Stegostoma tigrinum: one gene and its partners. The protein of the gene in region 3 purifies or fractionates together with the protein of the main gene of each other region. This does not show direct contact. Links are inferred from orthologs where the notes say so. Each region holds a gene or a part of one and is shown on either strand. Other genes may lie near its edges.

What was found.
Region 1: the proteins of lin7c (region 3) and disks large homolog 1-like purify together in Homo sapiens (affinity purification with mass spectrometry; 4 studies listed by BioGRID and IntAct, counting the BioPlex papers as one, with this or other methods). This does not show direct contact. The link is inferred for Stegostoma tigrinum from reciprocal best matches to the Homo sapiens genes LIN7C and DLG1.
Region 2: the proteins of lin7c (region 3) and rho guanine nucleotide exchange factor 26-like purify together in Homo sapiens (affinity purification with mass spectrometry; 3 studies listed by BioGRID and IntAct, counting the BioPlex papers as one, with this or other methods). This does not show direct contact. The link is inferred for Stegostoma tigrinum from reciprocal best matches to the Homo sapiens genes LIN7C and ARHGEF26.

The regions. Positions count from the first base shown.
Region 1 is NC_081367.1:52,820,412-52,828,262, reverse strand, and holds the start of disks large homolog 1-like, read left to right. Parts: upstream 1-4,773; 5' UTR 4,774-5,780; coding exon 5,781-5,799; intron 5,800-6,047; coding exon 6,048-6,179; intron 6,180-7,851. UniProt on the Homo sapiens protein: Essential multidomain scaffolding protein required for normal development. Recruits channels, receptors and signaling molecules to discrete plasma membrane domains in polarized cells.
Region 2 is NC_081367.1:63,309,706-63,317,207, forward strand, and holds the start of rho guanine nucleotide exchange factor 26-like, read right to left. Parts: upstream 3,103-7,502; 5' UTR 2,663-3,102; intron 1-2,662. UniProt on the Homo sapiens protein: Activates RhoG GTPase by promoting the exchange of GDP by GTP. Required for the formation of membrane ruffles during macropinocytosis. Required for the formation of cup-like structures during trans-endothelial migration of leukocytes.
Region 3 is NC_081370.1:53,126,844-53,134,424, forward strand, and holds the start of lin7c (protein lin-7 homolog C), read right to left. Parts: upstream 3,066-7,581; 5' UTR 2,988-3,065; coding exon 2,951-2,987; intron 1-2,950. UniProt on the Homo sapiens protein: Plays a role in establishing and maintaining the asymmetric distribution of channels and receptors at the plasma membrane of polarized cells.

The DNA of each region.
Region 1 (7,851 bases), on a different chromosome or scaffold from region 3:
TTGTTGTGTAACTTACAAACTTGGTCCTAACAGATTCACTTATGTCAGCCAAGTTATTTATATATAGTGTTAAAAAATCAAGACTCCAGCAGTGATCCGTGTGGCATTCCATTAATTATGCCGTCCTGAAAATCATGATTCATTCGTAAGCATATAGGGGCAGTGACTCAGGCAGAAGCAGGGATGGATGCTGATTGAGCTGGAAGGAAGAATGAATAGTGATTGATTTGGAGGCAGTGAACAATAATGATTGATGTGGAGCCAAAATCTGAGGATGGTACTGTACCAGATTAGGAGGAAGGGAAAGAAATTGAGTGGGAACCAGTGAATAAGAAAGGGACAGTGATTGAGTTTTGAGGCAGGCTGTGTGAGGGAGGGTGTTGGAAAGGGCCAGTGAGTGAGTTTTCAGACAGGGTGAGAGGGTGGGACAGTGAGTGAGTTTTGGGGCAGGGTGTTGGGGAGGGACAACGAGTGAGTTTTGAGGCAGGGTGTTGGAGAGGATGGCGAGTGGGTTTTGGGGCAGGGTGCCGGGGAGTGACGGCGAGCGGGTTTTCGGGCAGTGCGCCGGGGAGGGACGGCGAGCGGGATTTGGGGCAGTGCGCCGGGGAGGGACGGCGAGCGGGATTTGGGGCAGGGCGCGGGGAAGGGACGGTGAGCGGGTTTACGGGCAGTGCGCCGGGGAGGGACGGCGAGCGGGATTTGGGGCAGGGCGCCGGGAAGGGACGGTGAGCGGGTTTTGGGGCAGGGTGCCGGGGAGGGACAACGAGTGAGTTTTGAGGCAGGGCGCCGGGGAGGGACGGCGAGTGGGTTTTGGGGCAGGGCGCTGGGGAGCGACAGCGAGTCGGTTTTGAGGCAGGGCGCCGGGGAGGGACGGCGAGTGGGTTTTGGGGCAGGGCGCTGGGGAGGGACGGCGAGTGGGTTTTGGGGCAGGGCGCCGGGGAGGGACGGCGAGTGGGTTTTGGGGCAGGGCGCCGGGGAGGGACGGCGAGTGGGTTTTGGGGCAGGGCGCTGGGGAGGGACGGCGAGTGGATTTTGGGGCAGGGCGCCGGGGAGGGACGGTGAGTCGGTTTTGGGGCAGGGCGCCGGGGAGGGACGGCGAGTGGGTTTTGGGGCAGGGCGCCGGGGAAGGACGGCGAGTGGGTTTTGGGGCAGGGCGCTGGGGAGGGACGGCGAGTGGATTTTGGGGCAGGGCGCCGGGGAGGGACGGCGAGTGGGTTTTGGGGCAGGGCGCTGGGGAGGGACGGCGAGTGGGTTTTGGGGCAGGGCGCTGGGGCAAGACGGTGAGCGGGTTTTGGGGCAGGGTGCCGGGGAGGGATGGCGAGCGGGTTTTGGGGCAGGGCGCCAGGGAAGGACGGTGAGTGGGTTTTGCGGCAGGGCGCCGGGGAGGGACGGCGAGTCGGTTTTGGGGCAGGGTGCCGGGGAGGGATGGCGAGCGGGTTTTGGGGCAGGGTGCCGGGGAGGGATGGCGAGCGGGTTTTGGGGCAGGGCGCCAGGGAAGGACGGCGAGTGGGTTTTGCGGCAGGGCGCCGGGGAGGGACGGCGAGTCGGTTTTGGGGCAGGGTGCCAGGGAAGGACGGCGAGTGGGTTTTGGGGCAGGGCGCCGGGGAAGGACGGCAAGTGGGTTTTGGGGCAGGGCGTCGGGGAGGGACGGCGAGCGGGTTTTGGGGCAGGGCGCCGGGGAGGGACGGTGAGCGGGTTTTGGGGCAGGGTGCCGGGGAGGGACGGCGAGTCGGTTTTGGGGCAGGGTGTTGGGGAGGGACAACGAGTGAGTTTTGAGGCAGGGTGTTGGAGAGGACGGCGAGTGGGTTTTGGGGCAGGGTGCCGGGGAGGGACGGCGAGCTGGTTTTGTGTCAGGGTGCCAGGGAGTGATGGCGAGCGGGTTTGGGGCAGGGCGCCGGGGAGGGACAGTGAGTGAGTTATGGGGCAGGGTGTTGGGAAGAGACGGTGAGTGAGTTACAGGGCAGGGTGTTGGGGAGGGACGGTGAGTGAGTTACAGGGCAGGGTGTTGGGGAGGGACGGTGAGTGAGTTACGGGGCAGGGTGTTGGGGAAGGATGGTGAGTGAGTTCTGGGGCAGTGTGTTGGGGAGGGACGGTGAGTGAGTTTTGGGGCAGGGTTTTGGGGAGGGACGCTGAGTGAGTTATGGGTCAGGGTGTTGGGGAGGGACGGTGAGTGAGTTTTGGGGCAGGGTTTTGGGGAGGGACAACGAGTGAATTTTGAGGCAGGGTGTTGGAGAGGACGGCGAGTGGGTTTTGGGGCAGGGCGCCGGGGAGGGACAGTGAGTGAGTTATGGGGCAGGGCGCCGGGGAGGGACGGTGACTGAGTTATGGGGCAGGGTGTTGGAAAGAGACGGTGAGTGAGTTACGGGGCATGATGTTGGGGAGGGACGGCGAGTGAGTTACAGGGCAGGGTGTTGGGGAGGGATGGTGAGTGAGTTCTGTGGCAGGGTGTTGGGGAGGGACGGTGAGTGAGTTATGGGGCAGGGTTTTGGGGAGGGACGGTGAGTGAGTTCTGGGGCAGGGTGTTGGGGAGGGACGGTGAGTGAGTTCTGGGGCAGGGTGTTGGGGAGGGACGGTGAGTGAGTTCTGGGGCAGGATATTGGGGAGGGACGGTGAGTGAGTTATGGGACAGGGTGTTGGGGAGGGACGGTGAGTGAGTTACGGGGCAGGGTGTTGGGGAGGGACGGTGAGTGAGTTACGGGGCAGGGTGTTGGGGAGGGACAGTGAGTGAGTTACGGGGCAGGATATTGGCGAGGGACGGTGAGTGAGTTACGGGACAGGGTGTTGGGGAGGGACGGTGAGTGAGTTACGGGGCAGGGTGTTGGGAAGAGACGGTGAGTGAGTTACGGGACAGGGTGTTGGGGAGGGACGGTGAGTGAGTTACGGGGCAGGGTGTTGGGGAGGGACGGTGAGTGAGTTACGGGGCAGGGTGTTGGGGAGGGACGGTGAGTGAGTTACGGGGCAGGGTGTTGGGGAGGGACGGTGAGTGAGTTACGGGGCAGGGTGTTGGGGAGGGACGGTGAGTGAGTTACGGGGCAGGGTGTTGGGGAGGGACGGTGAGTGAGTTACGGGACAGGGTGTTGGGGAGGGACGGTGAGTGAGTTACGGGGCAGGGTGTTGGGGAGGGACGGTGAGTGAGTTACGGGGCAGGGTGTTGGGGAGGGACGGTGAGTGAGTTCTGGGGCAGGGTGTTGGGGAGGGACGCTGAGTGAGTTACGGGACAGGGTGTTGGGGAGGGACGGTGAGTGAGTTACGGTGCAGGGTGTTGGGGAGGGGCGGTGAGTGAGTTACGGGGCAGGGTGTTGGGGAGGGGCGGTGAGTGAGTTACGGGGCAGGGTGTTGGGGAGGGACGGTGAGTGAGTTACGGGGCAGGGTGTTGGGGTGGGACGGTGAGTGAGTTACGGGGCAGGGTGTTGGGGAGGGACGGTGGGTGAGTTACGGGGCAGGGTGTTGGGGAGGGACGGTGAGTGAGTTACGGGGCAGGGTGTTGGGGAGGGATGGTGAGTGAGTTACGGGGCAGGGTGTTGGGGAAGGATGGTGAGTGAGTTCTGGGGCAGTGTGTTGGGGAGGGACGGTGAGTGAGTTTTGGGGCAGGGTTTTGGGGAGGGACGCTGAGTGAGTTATGGGTCAGGGTGTTGGGGAGGGACGGTGAGTGAGTTTTGGGGCAGGGTTTTGGGGAGGGACAACGAGTGAATTTTGAGGCAGGGTGTTGGAGAGGACGGCGAGTGGGTTTTGGGGCAGGGCGCCGGGGAGGGACAGTGAGTGAGTTATGGGGCAGGGCGCCGGGGAGGGACGGTGACTGAGTTATGGGGCAGGGTGTTGGAAAGAGACGGTGAGTGAGTTACGGGGCATGATGTTGGGGAGGGACGGCGAGTGAGTTACAGGGCAGGGTGTTGGGGAGGGATGGTGAGTGAGTTCTGTGGCAGGGTGTTGGGGAGGGACGGTGAGTGAGTTATGGGGCAGGGTTTTGGGGAGGGACGGTGAGTGAGTTCTGGGGCAGGGTGTTGGGGAGGGACGGTGAGTGAGTTCTGGGGCAGGGTGTTGGGGAGGGACGGTGAGTGAGTTACGGGGCAGGGTGTTGGGGAGGGACGGTGAGTGAGTTACGGGGCAGGGTGTTGGGGAGGGACGGTGAGTGAGTTATGGGGCAGGGTTTTGGGGAGGGACGGTGAGTGAGTTCTGGGGCAGGGTGTTGGGGAGGGACGGTGAGTGAGTTATGGGACAGGGTGTTGGGGAGGGACGGTGAGTGAGTTACGGGGCAGGGTGTTGGGGAGGGACAGTGAGTGAGTTACGGGGCAGGATGTTGGCGAGGGACGGTGAGTGAGTTACGGGACAGGGTGTTGGGGAGGGACGGTGAGTGAGTTACGGGGCAGGGTGTTGGGGAGGGACGGTGAGTGAGTTACGGGGCAGGGTGTTGGGGAGGGACGGTGAGTGAGTTACGGGGCAGGGTGTTGGGGAGGGACGGTGAGTGAGTTCTGGGGCAGGGTGTTGGGGAGGGACGGTGAGTGAGTTCTGGGGCAGGGTGTTGGGGAGGGACGGTGAGTGAGTTACGGGGCAGGGTGTTGGGGAGGGACGGTGAGTGAGTTACGGGGCAGGGTGTTGGGGAGGGACGGTGAGTGAGTTCTGGGGCAGGGTGTTGGGGAGGAACAGCACTGGAGTTTCAAATCTTGGGTGAGCTGCTCTGCAGCATCACCGCAGCCTTCCTTAAACCTGGGCCCCGCCCCCCGGTCGGCCTGCTCCCTCCTGATTGGCGGGCGGCCGGTCAGGTGGTGGAGATTCGCCGTCCCGGTCGCCATTTTGGGGGAAAGTTTGGGATTTTTCTGGCAGTGACTGGGAAGAGGAGTAGTAGCAGTTGTTCGCCGGGTGGGAGGGAAGCGGCGGCAGCGAAAGTTTGTTTTTGGTGGAATCCGGAAGAAGAGGAGTGGGAGAGTGTGTGCCGGTGCCGGTCCGGGGGCCCCACCTCTCGGGGCGGGGAAAGGAGGAGGAGGCGGTGGGTCACTGGCGGCGGTGAAGGACTACAACTCCACGGGGAGGCAAGAGAGCGCAAGCCCCGGAGCCTGTAACTCGCCTGACGGGGAGGCAGCCAGAGAGTCGGCCCCTCTTTCGGGCTGGCGGGGTGTGGGGCAAGGCCGCCGCTTGCTGCATCCCATACCGAGGAGAGAGGACACAACCCCCCGCCCCTCCAACTCTCTTTTCCAAGAATCAAAACAACCGACACCCAGCAAAGGGATCCACTGGACGACCCTGAGTGTTAGGGGCAGAGACCAGGACAGTCACTCTCAAGCTCAGCGGAGAGGATCCACTCTCCCCAGTTGGTCTCCTGCAGTCACCTTGAACAAGTAGGACAAGCGAGCAGTGACCGGGCAAGATAACCAGCAGAAACGTTCTGATCAGCGAATCGGTATTCCAGACTGGGCAAGAGGAGAGAGTCAGGATGTGGTCCTCCTGAGGCCAACACTTTACAAACCGGTCAGTCTACTTCAGGAAGGAAGGATTGACTGATATCGGAAAGAAACCAAAAGTGTCTCTCAAACAAGCCTAAGCCTGTTTTGAAAGGAAAAAAAAATTGATTGTCAGTGAAACTGATTGCACTAAATATTTACACATTTCCTTGAGTCGGAGCGAAAAGTTGGGATCCGGTGTTTCTGGCAGTTTATCGGGACCGTTTGAAAGCGCAGAAGAAAAGATCCTGTCTCCGGAGACTCTTAGACTCCGGAGGACAACTTGGAATTGAGGGAATTACCAACTGGGAGCTTTAACCTGTGAAGGAAATCTGAAACAGGAGGATGCCGGTTCGAAAGCAGGGTGAGTTTCAGCATATTAAATTTTGCAGAAACATTTTAATAAAAGTTTTTAAAGTCCGCTAACACTTTGTATTTAGCACCATTGCCACGAACTTTAAGACGAACCGATTTTAACGAAGGATATCTTTGTCATTTTCTATCAAGTGCTAAAAGCTGGGCAAAGATGTAGTAGCTCCAGGAGTTGTTACGGGATCGGTCCAGTAATGATCGTTAAATGTGTGATTATTTTTGCCCCTTGTCTCTGCTCAGATGCTCAGCGAGCTCTGAAGCTCCTGGAGAATTACCGTGCCAAGCTCGGCAAGACTGAAGACCGTCAGCTCCGTGCCTCCATCGAGCGAGTTATCAATATATTCCGCAGTAATCTCTTTCAAGCATTAATAGGTACGTACATAGACCGCTCGATATCTAGTCGTCTTCTTACTTTTTGAGGTTAACAGCAGCGTCGGCCGATGAGAGCTGTTAAAATACCAATGGGTTGTTCTGAACATAAGGACTTAAATATTCTGGACAGAGAAACAGGTTTGACGTTTTAACAACGCGGGAATGCCTTGGCTTTTCTATATCCGATTACGAAATCATTCTTTCTCCTTAAGCTGACAACCTGTTGCCTTGCGATTCTGTGAATCACGGAGAGGCGAGAAAGCGGGAATAGTCGAACAATGTAATTGCGAATATTTGACAGACGTTGTCGCGTCATTTTAAACCCCGCAACACTGAAATGAATGCCAGCGCCAGTGCAGCATTTCTAATGAACTCTGCTTATAGTGTTGAACGATCAGATTACAACTTGATGTCAGTGTACATGATGCGATTCGGGAGCAGTTGGGCGGTGAACAGGAAGCCTTATGGAGGAAGGGGCGTGATTTATGAATGTAAACAGTTTCGGCTGTGTGCGGCATCTGAGTTGGACACGTGTGGAGGTGGTACTGAGGAAAGTAGATACCGAATCGGTACGATATGACATTTTAAGGAAAACCGTATTGATAACTACGGATTTTTAAGTGGAAATAAGGATAGTGGGAGTTGCGTTAAAATTCTGGGTGTCAATTTAGATTTTGCAGAGTGGGAAATCCTTTTCTGATTTCAAAACTTATTGACATTTTAATCAGAAGTCCACACTCTTGTTAGAGAATAGTGCAGTTGATTAAAATCGTTTTGATGGGGAGGAAGTAAAGATAATATTGTAAAGAAAATGATCCCTCGACATCAGCTGTAACCTAATTTGCGTTGAACTTTAAAATACATAATTAAAATAATTGATATTTTATTCATGTGGGATGTGAGCATGCTGGCAAACATATTTATTGGTCAAGCCAACACTACTTAATGGTTATTAGTACTGATTTCAGTGATATGAGGCACCTTTTCACTGTTATAATTCTATTAACAAAATAAATGTAAAAGGTCCAGTGACCGTCAAAGGTTAATCTTTCAAGTGTTCAGTAGCATACCACTAATGCAAATAGCTCTGACAAACTAAGGTTGTGTTGTAGTATTGAATTGTCATTGTCAACAAGATGATACTGGTATGTAGTAGGTCTTATTGGTTATCAGAGGTTTCAAATGTACTGTGTATATGCGATCCCCATCCAAGTACAAATTTAACTACAAAGAGAGGCAAATGATTGAAGTATAATGATAGTTTAAGTTGTTCACACATAAACTGCCTGTCTGGATAGTAGGATCCTCTAGCGTACGGATTAGATCCATCGGGAAACCTACTGATCTGCTTGCCAGCAGCAAAGCAGTAGTGAATTTTTGAGAAGTTGTGCAGCTAGCGTTTTTTTCAATGATTTTTGTTTTGTCTAAATGGCAAACACATTGGGCTTTTCGTAAAATAAGAAATATTCCATATAACTGATGTCTAAAACATCTGTACTTTCTGTTGTTCCCCTTAATACCTCCCCATTAAATACCTTAAACCACTATCGTCAGCTGCTCAAGTTGGAACTAATGTCCGCACACGTTGTGCATCACTTTTTTTCTTAATCTTTTTGTACGTTTGTTTGCTTTCTCCCTTTCCAAAATTCCTGTCTACTCTCTTGCTGAGATA
Region 2 (7,502 bases), on a different chromosome or scaffold from region 3:
GTGCCGGCCTTTTACCCTAATCCTAAAGTCTATCAAACCTCCACCCCTGCCTTATTCTATCATCCATGTGTCTATCTAACAGCTGCTTAAATGCCCCTAATGAGGCCAACTCCACTACCCTCTCCGGCAATGCATTCCACAAGGGATAGGGAGAGGAAAGATTAAGTGAACTCACCTCAACAGAGAGTGACTTGCCTGCCCAGTATTCCTATCATTTTATATTTCACAGATAATCTCCCTTTCATTTCCCCCCCACTGGCTCTTACTACCACATTCATTTAATTAAGTGAATTGAAATTCTCCAGCTACAGTGGAGGGGCAGGGATCTGAAATCATGTCTATGAATGTATGTTGTTTTGATCTCTATTTGCTTTTCTTTTCAGTTTATGGGTCAGAAGCATGAAGAACTAAACAGATATAGAAGTTTTTTGTTTCAATTAAGCAGGCAAGAGGATGTCAGCATTGAACCAGATCTTACTCTGGTGAATGGTAGGATTTAGATTCAATTAATAAATCTGGATGTTGAAACTAGTTACAATAATCATGGCCATAAAAACTTCAAGTTATTATAAAGGAATTCTGCTATCTTTACCTGGTCTGGCCCAAAGCAATGGGCAGTACAGTGGCTCTGTGGTTAGCACTGCTGCCTCACAGCACCAGAAACCTGCGTTCAATTCCAGCCTCAGATGACTGTGTGGAGTTTGCACATTTTACCTATATCTGCATGGTTTTGCTCTGGTTCCCTCCTGCAGTCCAAATATGTGCAGCTTAGGTGGATTGGTCATGGGAAATGCAAAGTTACAAGCGATAGGGTAGGGAGGTGAGTCTGGTGTTTAGAGAGTTGGTGTGGGCTTGTTGGGCCAAATAGCCTGTTTTGATTCTATGACTCACTTTTCAATGATATCTGATACAGCCTGGTAAAGTACTCAGCTAAGTGGTAAATAGGGATGGGCAGCATTTTGGCCATGCCAGTCACACCCATGTCTCATGAAACATTTAGAAAAACCTTTCCAGTTTCATCCTTCTTGAATAACGAGACAATACCATTCATTGTATCTACCTTATCATCATGAGTCTGATGTAAAGCTTTATCTGCAAAATCTCTCAAGACGGCATTTTGAAGTCCCAGCCACTTATGTACACAATCTAAACTCTCACAAAACCACTTCACCACAAATGGAGAGTGTTACCCAATCAGCAAAGGCTGACCCATCCATCAAGCGACTATCAAAGAAAGTTGATGTTGCAGGTCAGGACCTTCTTCAGGATTGAAATGTCAACTTTCCTCCTGCTCTGATGCTGCCTGGCCTGCTGTGTTCCTCCAGCTGTACACTGTGTTATCTCTGACTCCAGTATCTGCAGTTCTTACGATCTCTGACTATCAAAGAAAGCCCAGTTTCAAAATTTCCAGTGCAGAAAGTTTACACATCAACTATCTATCTGTTTATATCAAAACATGTTCCTGGAATGCGAGTACCATGGGCAAGTCTGATTGTGCCCAAAAAGGTGATCGTGGACCCAGCTCCTGAAACTTTGGCAAGTTTTGAGAAACTACGACAGAGGCAATTAAAGTCAACCACGCCCAAAACTTAAACACTTCTTTGTAGTAGCTCAGCAGTTAGCACCACTATCTCACAGCATCAGGGACCCAGGTTTGCTTCCAGTTTGTGGGGAGTTTACACATTCTCCCTGTGTCTGCGTGGGTTTCCTCTGGGTTCTCCGGTTTCCTCCCACAATCCAAAGACATGCAGGTTGGGCTGACTGGCCATGGGAAATGCAGGATTGTAGAATGGGGTGGGATGCGCTTTGGACCAGAGTGGACCTGATGGGCTGAATGGCCTGCTTCTACACGATAGGGGTTCTATGATTTCTGAACGTAACATCCTTGCAGACAGAACAAATGACTTGTTCAATAATCAATAAAAGCTTACTTTCATAACTGCTTACAATAAAGGGTTTATAACATAAGCAAAGTTACAGAATTAAGCCGACTTTTTGATCAAACAATTCTATCTAACTTACACAGAAGAGGACATTCTGTTTTTTTTTAAATAGCTGTTTACTGTACTCTGGCGAAACCTTGAAATGCAGACAGAAAATTAACGTGGATAATCTACACAATTACTGCAATCCATATCCCATTACGAACTGGATCACAGCCTCCAGACTTAGACATTTACGAGAAAAAGGCTACATTTGTTCTGCCGTTAGCTTAATTAGAATCATCCCTTCAATGTTCCAGATAAGATGTTTTATTCTAAGAAAAAAGAACAAAAATTTGCTAATCTGCCGAAGGAAAAACAACGGAACAAAATCTCCCCTGGTAGTCTCTACAATAAATATTCGGACAAAGTATTAGGAAATTTGAGAATACTGACTCGGCAGAAAACCAGGTCGCGGTATCCAATTTAAAATGATCTATAGTTGGACAAGTGCAAAACTAAACCATTTTAGAGAAAACTGAACGATTTCGACAGCGCGAGAGAAACTCTGTAAACTGCTACATGCAACCTGCCGTCTGAAAAATGAACGGTGAATCTCCAGGTGTAAAGAGGAAGATGTATAAAGAAATAAGCGACCAGCTTCCTTCCTGGGGCAGAAAAAAAAGTGTAAGAATCTCCGTTTTCCCTCCGTTCCCAGCAGCGTTGTGAAAGTGACTTACCCCGCTCTACTTTCCCGCTGTTGCAGAGGCGTGTACTGTCCCGCAGTCCTTGAGCCAGCTTCCCATTGTATAAACTGCTGGGAGCACAGGATTTTAGTCCCACTTATAGTTCCCCCTCGTCCTCCTGCTGCATCTACCCTCCCAAAAAAAAGCTCCTGTCCGTTTTGCAATAACTCCAACCTCAGTCTCAGTTATGAAATGAGCTTCGCTGCTCTTGTGCGGGTTAAAGTTGCGATGTTGGCGTGTCGCTAGGACAGAGTGAGTGTGGGAGAGGGAGAGAGAGAGAGAGAGAATGTGTGAGAGAGAGAATGTGTGTATGTGTGTGTGTGAGAGAGAGAGAAATTCAGTGTTGGTCCAAGTTCAAAGTGACGCAGTGTCAATTCTGATTCCACCTTCAGCTCCCAACACAATGCCAATAATCTCTTGAAATCCTTTATCTTTTCCAACTTTATTTTTCAAACTGTTGAACTTCGAGAATTCTCCCCCCACCTCCTGAAATGGAAAGCCCTGAAATTGTCCTTGAAGTAGCGCCTTCTGGTGGATTCTTTCCGAATAGGTTCATCTATTCCTGGTTCTCCATAGCGCGCACCAATTCGACTTAACTTTTTTTTAAAAAAGTTCAGGCAGGTTATGATACAATCTGGGGCAGATCGGACTTGACTTTAAACATTCTAGTCCAGAGGTATGGACACTTACCGCTGTGTCACTAGACCCATCCAGCTCAGAGATCAGAGATAATGGGAACTGCAGATGCTGGAGAATCCAAGATAACAAAGTGTGAAGCTGGATGAAAACAGCAGGACAAGCAGCATCTCAGGAGCACAAAAGCTGACGTTTCGGGCCTAGACCCTCTCTGATGAATATAATGGCCTGCTGTGTTCTTCCAGCTTCACACTTTGTTATCTCAGCTCAGCTTGTTTATTGCTGCCAGACAATCACTTCTTACTTTGAAGATCTGTCATTATTTCCTCTCTGGTTATTTTAAAATAAAATCTCCACCTGTTCAGCAATATTAAAACACGCTGGTGGAGCAGGTCGGACTTGAAACCAGGCCTCCCATTCTGGAAGGGGGAAACACTACCCCTGTGCTACAAGAGCCCTCTGTGTACAGACTTGCCTTAGAGTTAGATTTGACTGCAAACCCACTGCTCTACATTTTCGAAGTCATTCTGCTGCATCCCTATATAGTATGATTGGAATGGCGACAACGCAGGAAGAGGCTATTCAACCACTCAAATTGGTGCTGGCTTTCTGATTGGCCAATTGACCAGTATCACGATCCCGCCTTCTCTCTGTAACTCTGTACATTCTTCATTCTCTGACGGTGATCCCACTTGCTCCTGAAGGCTGCAGGTCAACCTGTCTCCACTTTAGATTATAGCCACTTGCTGTGTGAAAAAGGTTTGCCTCATGCCGCCATTGCTCCCTTTGACAATTACCTAAAGTCTGTGTCCTCTGCTTCCTAAACTTATTAATCTATGGGATAACAACCTCCTTATCTGTCTGGACTCCATATTATCTTCAGTACTTCTACCAATTCTCCTCTCAATCCTCTCATAGTTTCATGAGCCATACAGGGTAGGTAATTAGTGCATTGAACCTGTGCCATTCCTGAAGAATAACAGAATTAATCCCATTCCCTGGATCTTTCCTACTCACGCTGTGATCTCTCCTTCAAAGCAATCTCTTCTCAATGGTTTGTTTAGATGAACATTTCTGATCTTGACCAAACAGATTAAAGCTGAAATCATTTCAAAAAGATTTGCTTTGCAGGAGGAGGGCCCCCCACACCTTACATCCAGTGAATGGTGACCATGTAAAACTTCCAAGTATTGCAATTATAAGACCAGAAGACATAGGAGTGAAAGTAAGGCCATTTGGCCCATCGAACCCACTCTGCCATTTAATCATGGCTGATGGGCATTTCAACTCCACTTCCCTGCACTCTCCCCATAATCCCTAATTTCTTGTGAGATCAAGAATTTATCAATCTCCGCTCAATTATAGTAGGTCAAAAGTCACACAACACCAGGTTATAGTCCAACAGGTTTATTGAAATCACAAATTTTTGCAGTGCTGCTGCTCTTAGAAGAGTCTGCAATCCATGTAGGCCAGTTAAGGACAGCAGACTTCTTTAGATTAGATTAGATTCCATTCCCTACAGTGTGGAAACAGGCCCTTTGGCCCAACAAGTCCACACCAGCCCTTGAAGCAAGCCACCCAGACCCATCTCCCTATAACCCACACACTCATGAATACTATGGGCAGTTTTAGCATGGCCAATCCACCTAGCCTACACATCTTTGGACTGTGGGAAGAAACCCACGCAGACACAGGGAGAATGTGCAAACTCCACACAGACAGTTGCCCGAGGCTTGAATTGAACCTGGGCCCCTGGTGCTGTGAGGCTGCAGTGCTAACCACTGAGCCACTGTGCCACCCCGGTGTCCTTTTACCTAAAGGACATTAATGTATCAGATGAGTTTCTAATGACAATTGATATTAGTTCCACCGTCACCGTAACTGAAACTAGCTTTCAATTCCAGATGTATTGATTGAATTAAAGTTCCATCAGCTGCTATGATGGCATTTGAAATTGTTTCGATTACTAGCCTGGTGATTTTACCACTGTCTCCCCAAGCTATCAACTGTTAGGGATGTGCATGAACCCACAGTTTAAGGGTAATAAACTGGCTTGTTCTAAGTGCTACCTCAGTGACATTGCCCTTCTGCTAACATCTCTCCTTTAATAGAATTCTCTCCCATTAGTTTCTATCTCTGATCAACAACAACAAGCTAAAGCTTAAATAAATTCAAAAGGATACAGAGGAGGAAGTCCCTCCGAATGTACATCAGGTGAATAAGAGATAGCAAGAACTGCCAATGCTGGAGTGAGAGACAACACAGTGTGGAGCTGGAGGAACACAGCAGGTCAGGCAGCATCAGAGGAACAAGACTCTGAAGAAGGGTCCCAACCCAAAACATTAACTTTCCTGCTCCTCTGACGCCACCTGTCCTGTTCTGTTCCTCCAGCTCCACACTGTGTTGTCAGGTGAGTAAGAGACTGTTTGAAATTCGTTGAATTGCATTTATCACATCATACTTCATTCCTTGCATCTCATTACTTTATGATTCCTCGAATATTGTATCACGTGGAGAAATATTTTGAAACCATTGTTAAACAGTTCAGAATTAGAAAGAATACAATATTAAAATTTTTATTGAGTCACTATATTAAGGCCCTCTCCATGTTGAAATCCGACTGTTGCTCCAAAATAACATTTGAAGGCAGCTCCTTAAGACAGTAACATGAATATTTAATTTCCTTCCTGCCACTTTAACCAGAAAGTTTGTTCCTTTTGAGTCATTAGAGTTACCACGCTAAGGAAAAGGTACTTTGGCCCATCATATCCAAACCAGTTATCAAACATTCATCTATTCTAACCCCATTTTCCAGCATTTGGACCATACCCTTATATGCTATGGCATTTCAAGTGTTAATGTAAATGCTTCTATAATGTCTTGAGGGACTTGGCCTCTACCACCCTTTTAGGCAGTGAGTCCTAGATTCCCACCATCCTCTGGATGAAAAAAAAATCCTTAAATCCCCTCTAAAACTCTTGCTCCTAACTTTAAAAATTGTGCCCCATTGTTTATTGACCCTTCTTCTAAAGGAAGTTTCTTCCTCTCTCCCCTATCAATGCACTTCATAACTTTGTACACCTCAGTCAGATTCTGCCTCAGCCTTAGCTACTGGAAGGAAAACAACCCCAGCCAGGCTGGTCTCTTTTCATAGCGAAAACCCTCCAGCCCAGGAAACATCCCTATGAATGTTTTCTGCATCTTGTCGAGTACAATCTCATTCTTCCTATTGTATGGTGATCAGAATTGTACACAGTACTCTAGCTATTGACCTAAATAATATCATATACAACTCCATCATAAACTCCTTGCTCTTATATTCAATGCCTTAATTAAAAAAGCCAACATCCAATATGACTTTTTAATCACTTTATCAACCTGTCCTGTTGCACTCAAGGATATGTGAATATGTGCACTACCGTTCCTCCAATCCTTTGTAATTCCAAGGGTCCTATAGGTCCTGTTTGACATGTACTCTCTTGTTTTGTTAATCCTGCCAAAATGCATTTCCTCTGACTTTTCAGGATTAAATTCAATTTACCATTGTTTGGCCCATCTAAGCGGGCATTTACAACATCCTGGGCTTTAAGGCTTTCCTCCTCCTATTCACAATGCCAATTTTCATATCACCTGTGAACATACTGATCATACTTCCTACATTCATGTCTAAGTCATTAATACATACAACATACAGCAGGTGACCCGGCTCCAAACCCACTATGCCCCTGGACACAAGTTCCCAGTCACAAAAATGCCCTTCACCTATTACCATCTGCTTCCTGCCACTAAGCCAATTTTGGATCCAATTCGCCAAAAGACTCTTAGCTTCTTAACTAATCTGCCAATCAAGACCTTGTCAAAAGCTTTATTGAAGTCTGTGTAGACTGCATCAACTGCACTACCCTCATCTACTTGCCTAGTCTCCACCTTGAAAAATACAATTACATCTGTTAGACATGACTTCCCAAAGCCATGCTGACTATCCTTGACTAATCCTTGCCTCTCCAAGTGCAGATTAATTCTGTCTGTCAGAAATTTTTCCAGTATTTTCTCCTGCCACAGGTATTAAAATCTGTGGATTCCTGGCTTACCCCTACCACTCACATTGAGTAAGGGCACCATATTAGCTGTTCTCGAGCCACTCCACTCCAATGAACAGAGAGGGTTAAAATTTAATCTCAGAGCCTGTTTATTATCC
Region 3 (7,581 bases):
GGGCAGGCAAGGAGCAGGTCCCAAGTCTACCTAAGTCAGAACAGGAACTGAACTTGTTTTGAACATGCTAGTCATCGATCCAACTGTGCTAACCGGCCCATTCAACCATAAAATAAAGCCACAAGTTTAAAGAGAGTGTCTTCTGATTTCGAGTTTAACATAAATTTATTATTATTTACATTTTAACCATGTCCAAAAATAATGATTCAAGCAACTGAATTTTGGTTACTGCAAAAAAGCTTTTTCTGTGGGTGTATGTGCGATTCATGAGAAAAGTCTGACTTTTCAATGAACAATTGTAGTGAAACAGTACACGTCTGGGTGACAGACAGTCGAAAATGTCTTTATACACAAGTTTTATATTGTATGGTCATGTCAATACTACCAGAATAATACCAACACTATTGTTGTTGTCAATTCAGTGGATAACTACCTTTATGAACGAGAGTACAGTAATCTCCATTTGCTACAGTAATCAGTGTTTCAGTATCCGTGCTTGGTTGTTGTTATGACGTACACATCTTCCAAAGCCGCTGAAAAATAGTGTGACTGCTACACATTATTTTGGAAATGAAGCGTGCTTTCAAATTTTATGACACTACTTTTAGTTTTTTATTCTAGCAATCTTTATTTTAAAATCTGAAACAAACTGGTTATTGTCCCCATTGGGATTATTTCCAGTTCTTTTGCTAACCCTAATTCCATTAGTCTCCTTTTGGAATTAGAAGTAGCTGTCCACCCATTTCCTACATTTGGTTAAATTAGCACAGACAATACACCAGGGGCATTGCTTCCTCACTCACTTGCAGCCAAATTGATTTCAAATAATGAAATGGTATTTCTGCATCAAAGAAAGAAAGAATTTGATTTATATAGCAGCTTTAACATCCTCCTGTTGTCCCATGGCACCTCACAACCAATTAAGTAGTTTGAGAAGCAAAATAAGAAAGACATCTGCTAATTTGCGCATAGCAATGAGCCATGAATAGAAACATAAATAGCCAGCCTTAATTATGTTGATTTACAGACAAACGTTACCCAGGACACAGAATTCCCAACTCTCATCTGAAATACATTATGGGGTCTCAAGGTTCTAGACAGTCAGTTTAAAGCTCATCTTGAAGCCAGTATGTCTGATAGATGTTCCCGTCCACTCTACAGATTCACAATCCAAGATGTTCATCAAATTCAGTCAAACTTTACAAAATTACAGAACAAAATGAACATTTTAAAATCTACTCTCCCCTATTACATTAATGTTTCCTTCCGGAAAGTTGCCATGCCCGCAAAGTCATCCTCTGCCCCGTGTAAAGTAACCACTTTATTGTAACTTTCATGTCGAACAAACACAGGTTCACCCCAAATTTAACTTACAAATACAACTTTTATTATTTATTCATGGGATATGGGCATTGCCCATCATTAATTTCCATTTCACAGGGCAGTTAGGAGTCAACCATGTTGCTGTGTGTACAGTATGAGATTTGATCAGACCAGGTAAGGATAACAAATTTCCTTCCTTCTCTCTACAGGTGCTGCCAAACCTGCTGAGTTTCTCCAGCACTGTTTTTGTTTCAGATTTCCAGCATCTACAATTCTGTTTTAAAATTCCTTCCCTGCTGATCTATGCATTCCTAATTTTACACTAAAAACAAACCAGATATGATCAGCAATATTTCTGCTACAACTTTGTACCTTAAATTTTACTCCAAAGAAACTACTTTTTTCCATTAAAATAAAGTCCAGTGCACCGACAGACTGTTGCAATACCAAAGCTGCAAATTTTAAGAAAGACAGCTTAAGTGTCTGTCTCAGTGGAAGTTTTAAAAAAACCTGAATGCAAGAACTTTTTTTAGACAAGAATCCTTTCTGAACAGATATTCAACAACTGCAGTACCATTGAGATCTGAACACATCCTGAAATACTTTACAACAGCATGAAATAAAATTTGACATTGAGCAACCAAAGGATATGAGGAGAGTTAATCATAAGTTCATTGGTTAAAGGCAAAAGGTTTTAAGGAATTTGTTAAGCAAAGATGTCACACTTGTTCCTTTTCCTTAAGGATGGGGAATGGAGAGGTTGAGGAAGGGAATTAGCAGCTTAGCATCTGAAGGCACTGGCGCTTGAGCCATTTACAATCAGGTGTGCACAAGAGACTACAATTACGGAGTCCAAATATCTCAGACTTTTTCAGGGTGGGGGCAGAAAAAAGCAAGTGGAGGTGTTCACAGAGGGGGAATGGCATGGAGGGATTTGAAAACAATCATGGGAATTTTTAAACAAACAAAACAGAAATTGTTGGAGAGATTCCACAGGTCTGGTAGCATCAGTGGAGTATAAAACAGGGTTAACATTTCAAGACCCATGACCCTCTTTCAGAACTAGTTGTCTGTTTTCTCTATCTACAGATGCTGCCGGACCTAGAGAGTTTCTCCAACAACAACATCAACAACGCTGCTGGAAAAGCTCAGCAGGTCTGGCAGCATGAGTGAAGAAAAAAAAAATCAGACTTAACATCTCGGGTCCAGTGACCCTTCCTCAGAACTGGGTTTCTCCAACAGTTGCTGGTTTTACTTGTTTCAGATCTCCAGTCTCTCAGTTCGATTTGAAAATTGTAAAAGCCTGACTTGTCATTTACCCCTTGGTTTGGGGGAGGGGAGGGAAAGAGGAGGTAGTGCTGGTTCCCTGAGGAAGGAAGAGCTTGCTTCCCCAAAAACCTGTCTCGCCAGCTTCCAGCTGCAAAAGCCTTTCTGAGAAACACTCCTGAGGCGTAACCAAGGGTCTAGGTAACCCAGGAGCCAGAAGGTCCACCTTTGTACCAGCAGCCTGGCTCAGGCACCTTATAGCTCGTTCGACTCAATTTGATTTATGCCTTCGCAGTGACCGGAACTCTCCCCCACCCCGAGATGGCAGCTTGGCGAAAGGACAGTGAGGGCGGAGGCCTACCTCTGTCCAGTCTGATGGGCTCCATCACCAACGCCATTCCACAACAAAACGACAGAATAAACGGACACTCCGGAAGTGACGTCTCCAGACGAGCCACAAACGTTTTATTCGTCGCTACGCTCCGGTAACGACAGCGCCACCGGCAGGCTGGGAGGACGCATTGAACCCACTCAGAGCCCTGAACTCAACCTTCGGTCACATTTCGTACCAAGTGAGCCACCCGGATTGCAACTGCTGTGTTTTTCCACATATAGCTTTTCTTTTGGGTCCTATCTATGTTTCTACGGTTTCCCGTTTAAACTCTAGGATTGTTTTTTCACAAGCCTCTGTTGCATATATAAAAAATAAATCGAAAGAACTGCAGATACTGGAAACAAAAACATAAATTGCTGGGTAATCTCAGCACCTTTGTGCAGAGAAAGCAGAATTAATGATTAGGCTCCTGTGACCCTTCAGAACTCCTTCTTCTGAAGAAGGCTCACTAGACCTAAGTGTTAACTCTGAATTCTGCACAGATGCTACCAGACCAGTTGAGATTTTCCAGCAACTTCAGTTTTTGTTCTGTTACCTGTACGTTTATTTGTTAAATTTGGAGCAAATCTATGCCTTTAAATGTTAGATTTTGTAATTTTTCTGTATTATTGCCATTAACCAAATCTGCTTCCATCTCACAGTGATCATGCCAAAACTGCATAGAATGATTTTATCATTGGATTTGGCACCAGACCCAGTCCATGCGTGTGCATGGGTAGATATCGCCATTTTGGTTTGGAAATTGAGTCATCGTTGTGTTGCATTTGTGTAGGTTTTTTCACGACGTAAAAGTATAGCTGTAAAAGGGTGGTGGTATGTTTTAGTTGCTCATATGACATTGTCCTGAAAAACAACTTGTATTGTTTCACAATGTCAAGGACAAGTTAGGTAATATAATCATGTAAATATCTAGGGATTGCTGAGATTAAAATGGTCTATACACAGCAACGAAAGCAAAGTTGCTGGAAAAGCTCAGTAGGTCTGGCAGCATGTGTGGAGGAGAAAACAGAGTTCATGTTTCAGGTCCGGTGACCTTTCCTCAGAACCCTTCGGGTCACCAGACCGGAAACGTTAACTCTGTCTTCTCCTCCACACATGCTGCCAGACCTGCTGAGCTTTTCCACAAACTTTGTTTTTGTTCCTAATTTAAGGCATCCGCAGTTCTTTTGGGATTTTTTTTAAAGCACTGTATGTTTTTCTAAGTTTATCTTGAAGGCACTGTCTAGGTTTTTACCAAAACATATTGGTGGCAACTCTAGTGAAACTTTATAAAGCTCTAGTTAGGCCCCATTTAGAATGCTGTGTCCAATTTTGGGCCCCACACGTCAGGAAGGACATACTAGCCCTGGAGTGTGTCCAGCGGAGATTCACACGGATGATTCCTGGAATGGTAGGCTTAATGTATGATGAATGGCTAAGGATCCTGGGATTGTATTCATTAGAGTTAAGAAGGTCAAGGGGAGATCTAGTCGAAACTTAAAAGATAATGTATGGCTTAGAAGGGGTGGACACTGGGAAGTTGTTTCCGTTAGGTGGGGAGACTAGGACCCATGGGCACAGCCTTAGAATTAGAGGGGGTAAATTTAAAATGGAAATGAGGAGACATTTCTTCAGCCAGAGAGTGGTGGGCTTGTGGAATTCATTGCCACGGAGTGCAGTGGAGGCCGGGACGTTAGACTTCTTCAAGGCAGAGATCAATAAATTCTTGATCTCACAAGGAATCAAGGGCTACGGGGAGAGTGCGGGGAAGTGGAGTTGAAATGCCCATTAGCCATGATTTAAATGGGAGAGTGGGCACGATGGGCCGAATGGCCTTACTTCCACTCCTATGTCTTATGGTCTTATGGTGTTACAGTGGTGCGAGAGTGAGCGGAGAAAAAGCCTGGCTTTAAAATCATAGTAAACAAAACAAATAACTAAAAAAAACAAGTTTCTCTCGCAATTTCTGTTTTTGTTTAAAATATAATGTTTTCTTTGATTGTCCAGGGTGGTTTTTCCTTATGGAATTAGGTCAGAAACAGGCTTGGAACTTCTGTGGCATTGCACAGATGTCCAGAGGATGGAATTGAACCTGGGTTCCTGGCACTGTAAGGCAGCAGTGCTAACCACTGAGTCCCATGCTGCCCCAATTATGTTACAACCATTGAATTATGGAAGGTGAATGCTCAGAAACAGGCCAAAAACTATTTGGAAACTGGATATGAGAGTTCCATCATTCCATGGTCAAAATGAATAGTAGCAATGTTAGTAAAACTCCACATTTTTAACAAGTAGCTTCTCACTATGTCATTCACAAGGAATTCATGATTTGTGCTGTCGATTTCACAAGAGCACAAAGCCATATCGATCAGCCGCCTGTCATCAGATGGGCTCATTCAAGTCCTCTCTTTTTAACCCTGTCAGTCACAACAAATATTTTTATTCTGCTTTTATTACAAAGCTATTTATTATTACATAATTTGTAATACAATTACAGACCCAATTATCAACAATTTCTTGAATTAAAGAAAAGGATTTTATTATCGACTAACCCTGAGGAAATAAAGTGAAAATATGATATTAAATAAACACACACACAAGCACAGGAATAAAATTTACAAGGGATATAGTCTGGTACAGACAAGAAGAAATAAGGCTAATTTTATGAAGATTCATCAAAAATAAGTTATTAGCTGGTGTTTGACAGTACGGGACTTAGATATTGCTGAAAAAGAGACACTTTGTCAGCCGTTTTCTCCATGTGCTCATTTTGCAGAAAGGAGTGTGTTAAGATAGATGGAATATTGTATTTTACTGTGTGTTTCAAAATTTTAAAAATGGTGTTATATATAAATAGTTTGACTTATTTTGTTTTATTTTATTTTATTTTACACAATAAACTTCTATTTTATTGTTAAACTAAATATTAAACATTGTGCACTTGTGTTCTCTGAGGCGGCTGTGTTTCTCTGGAACTCCTTGCCACAGAGAGCTATCTGGGCAGAATCATTATGTGTATTTAAGGCTCAGACAGATAGATTTTTGAGCAGTCAGGGAATCAAGGGTTACGGGGAAAATGTAGGAAAGCAGATGTGAGGAATGTTGGATTGGCCGTGATCTTACTGAATGATGGAGCAACCTCAACAGCTCCTGTTCCTATTTCTTATGGTCTTAAAATATGATCTATAAAGCCAGATTTCAATCTGGGATCTGACTTCTCCAGTAATAACATCAGCTCCGATCATAACAATTTGTTGACTTGTTTTTTAAGATGCAGAGACAAATACACAAGGTGTCAGAGCAGGTGCATACAGACAGAAGAGATCTATAGCAGCAAAGGTGCTTTTCTGATGAATTTCTAAGCAGCCAGGGCTTTGGAGAAGTCTCAAGATTCTTAAAGGTTGGTAAGAAGACAGCTCCAGATGCAAAAAGCTGTGAATGTAAAGATCAGGGAATCCATGGTAAATACTAATTGTGAGCTGAGTTAGCAGCTTGTTTCAAAGGTCTTTGGAAAAGATATATCTGAAGAAAACGACATTTAATGAAAATGCAGCAACTTGTAAAAACAGAAAATGATTATAAGCCATTCCAAGTGAGCAAGAAGCATTAGAATGAAAATTGGGGTTACCTTACACTGAGATTTGAGTCCCTGTAAGGGTATTGCTGAAGTAAAATGGATGAATCTTTCTTTCTGATTTTTGAGAGAAAGAAAAATCAAACTTATGGTCTATGAAGCCAGGTCTAACTCTGGGATCTGATTTGTCTAATATTACCATCAGCTGGAACCATAAAATAGTGGTGGCTACTTGTAGTAGCAGATATATTGAAATTTAAGTGCTTTATGTGAATCTTTAAAAATTAGACCACGGAGGCACTGAGCATAGAAACAGAAGAGTTGTCATGAAGCATATTATAAATGAGCAGAATTTTTAAATAGCTTTGAAAGTTGCAACAATTTCTTTGGGAATAGAAGATGAAACAATGGATTATTTGAAATCTTTAGAGATTAGGCAAATCTAAGAAAGTAGGCATATAAACTGGAGGTAGGGGAAATAAAATAAATTAGTTATTTATTGTCACATATATCTAGAAAGAAAAAGTGAGAAGTGTTTTGTTGCTACAATCCGGCAGCATTTTGAGTTACGAAAAGAATAAAGATAAATTACATAAAGAGAGCACATCTTCTGTACAAAGTGTCGCCAGACACAACTTCAGAGCTTCTGCAAGGTGTCCCAGGCCTCAAGGAGTCCCTGTACTGCAGGCCTACCACAGCCAGGAGTCCCCATTCCGGGTACTGTTTCTGCCATAGCGACCTGCTGCCACCAAGAGACCCCGCACTGGGGCACCACCACCATTGCAGACGATGGCCCGCTGAGTTCACGAGTCCATAGTCTGGGCCCACTGCAGCCAAAAGTCCTTGCACCAAGCACCTCCACCGCCACAGCCAATGACCCGCTGAGTACTGTTCCGGCTTCCCCCAGACATCTGAAGGTGAAGAAAAGAAAATAAAGAGAAAGGAAAGGATAAGAAAGAAGAGAAAGAGGAGGATGTAGCCGGCCTAAAGCGGATTGGCTCAGGAGCCTGAACACTGCCCAATGTGCTGATGCCGCCATCTTGGG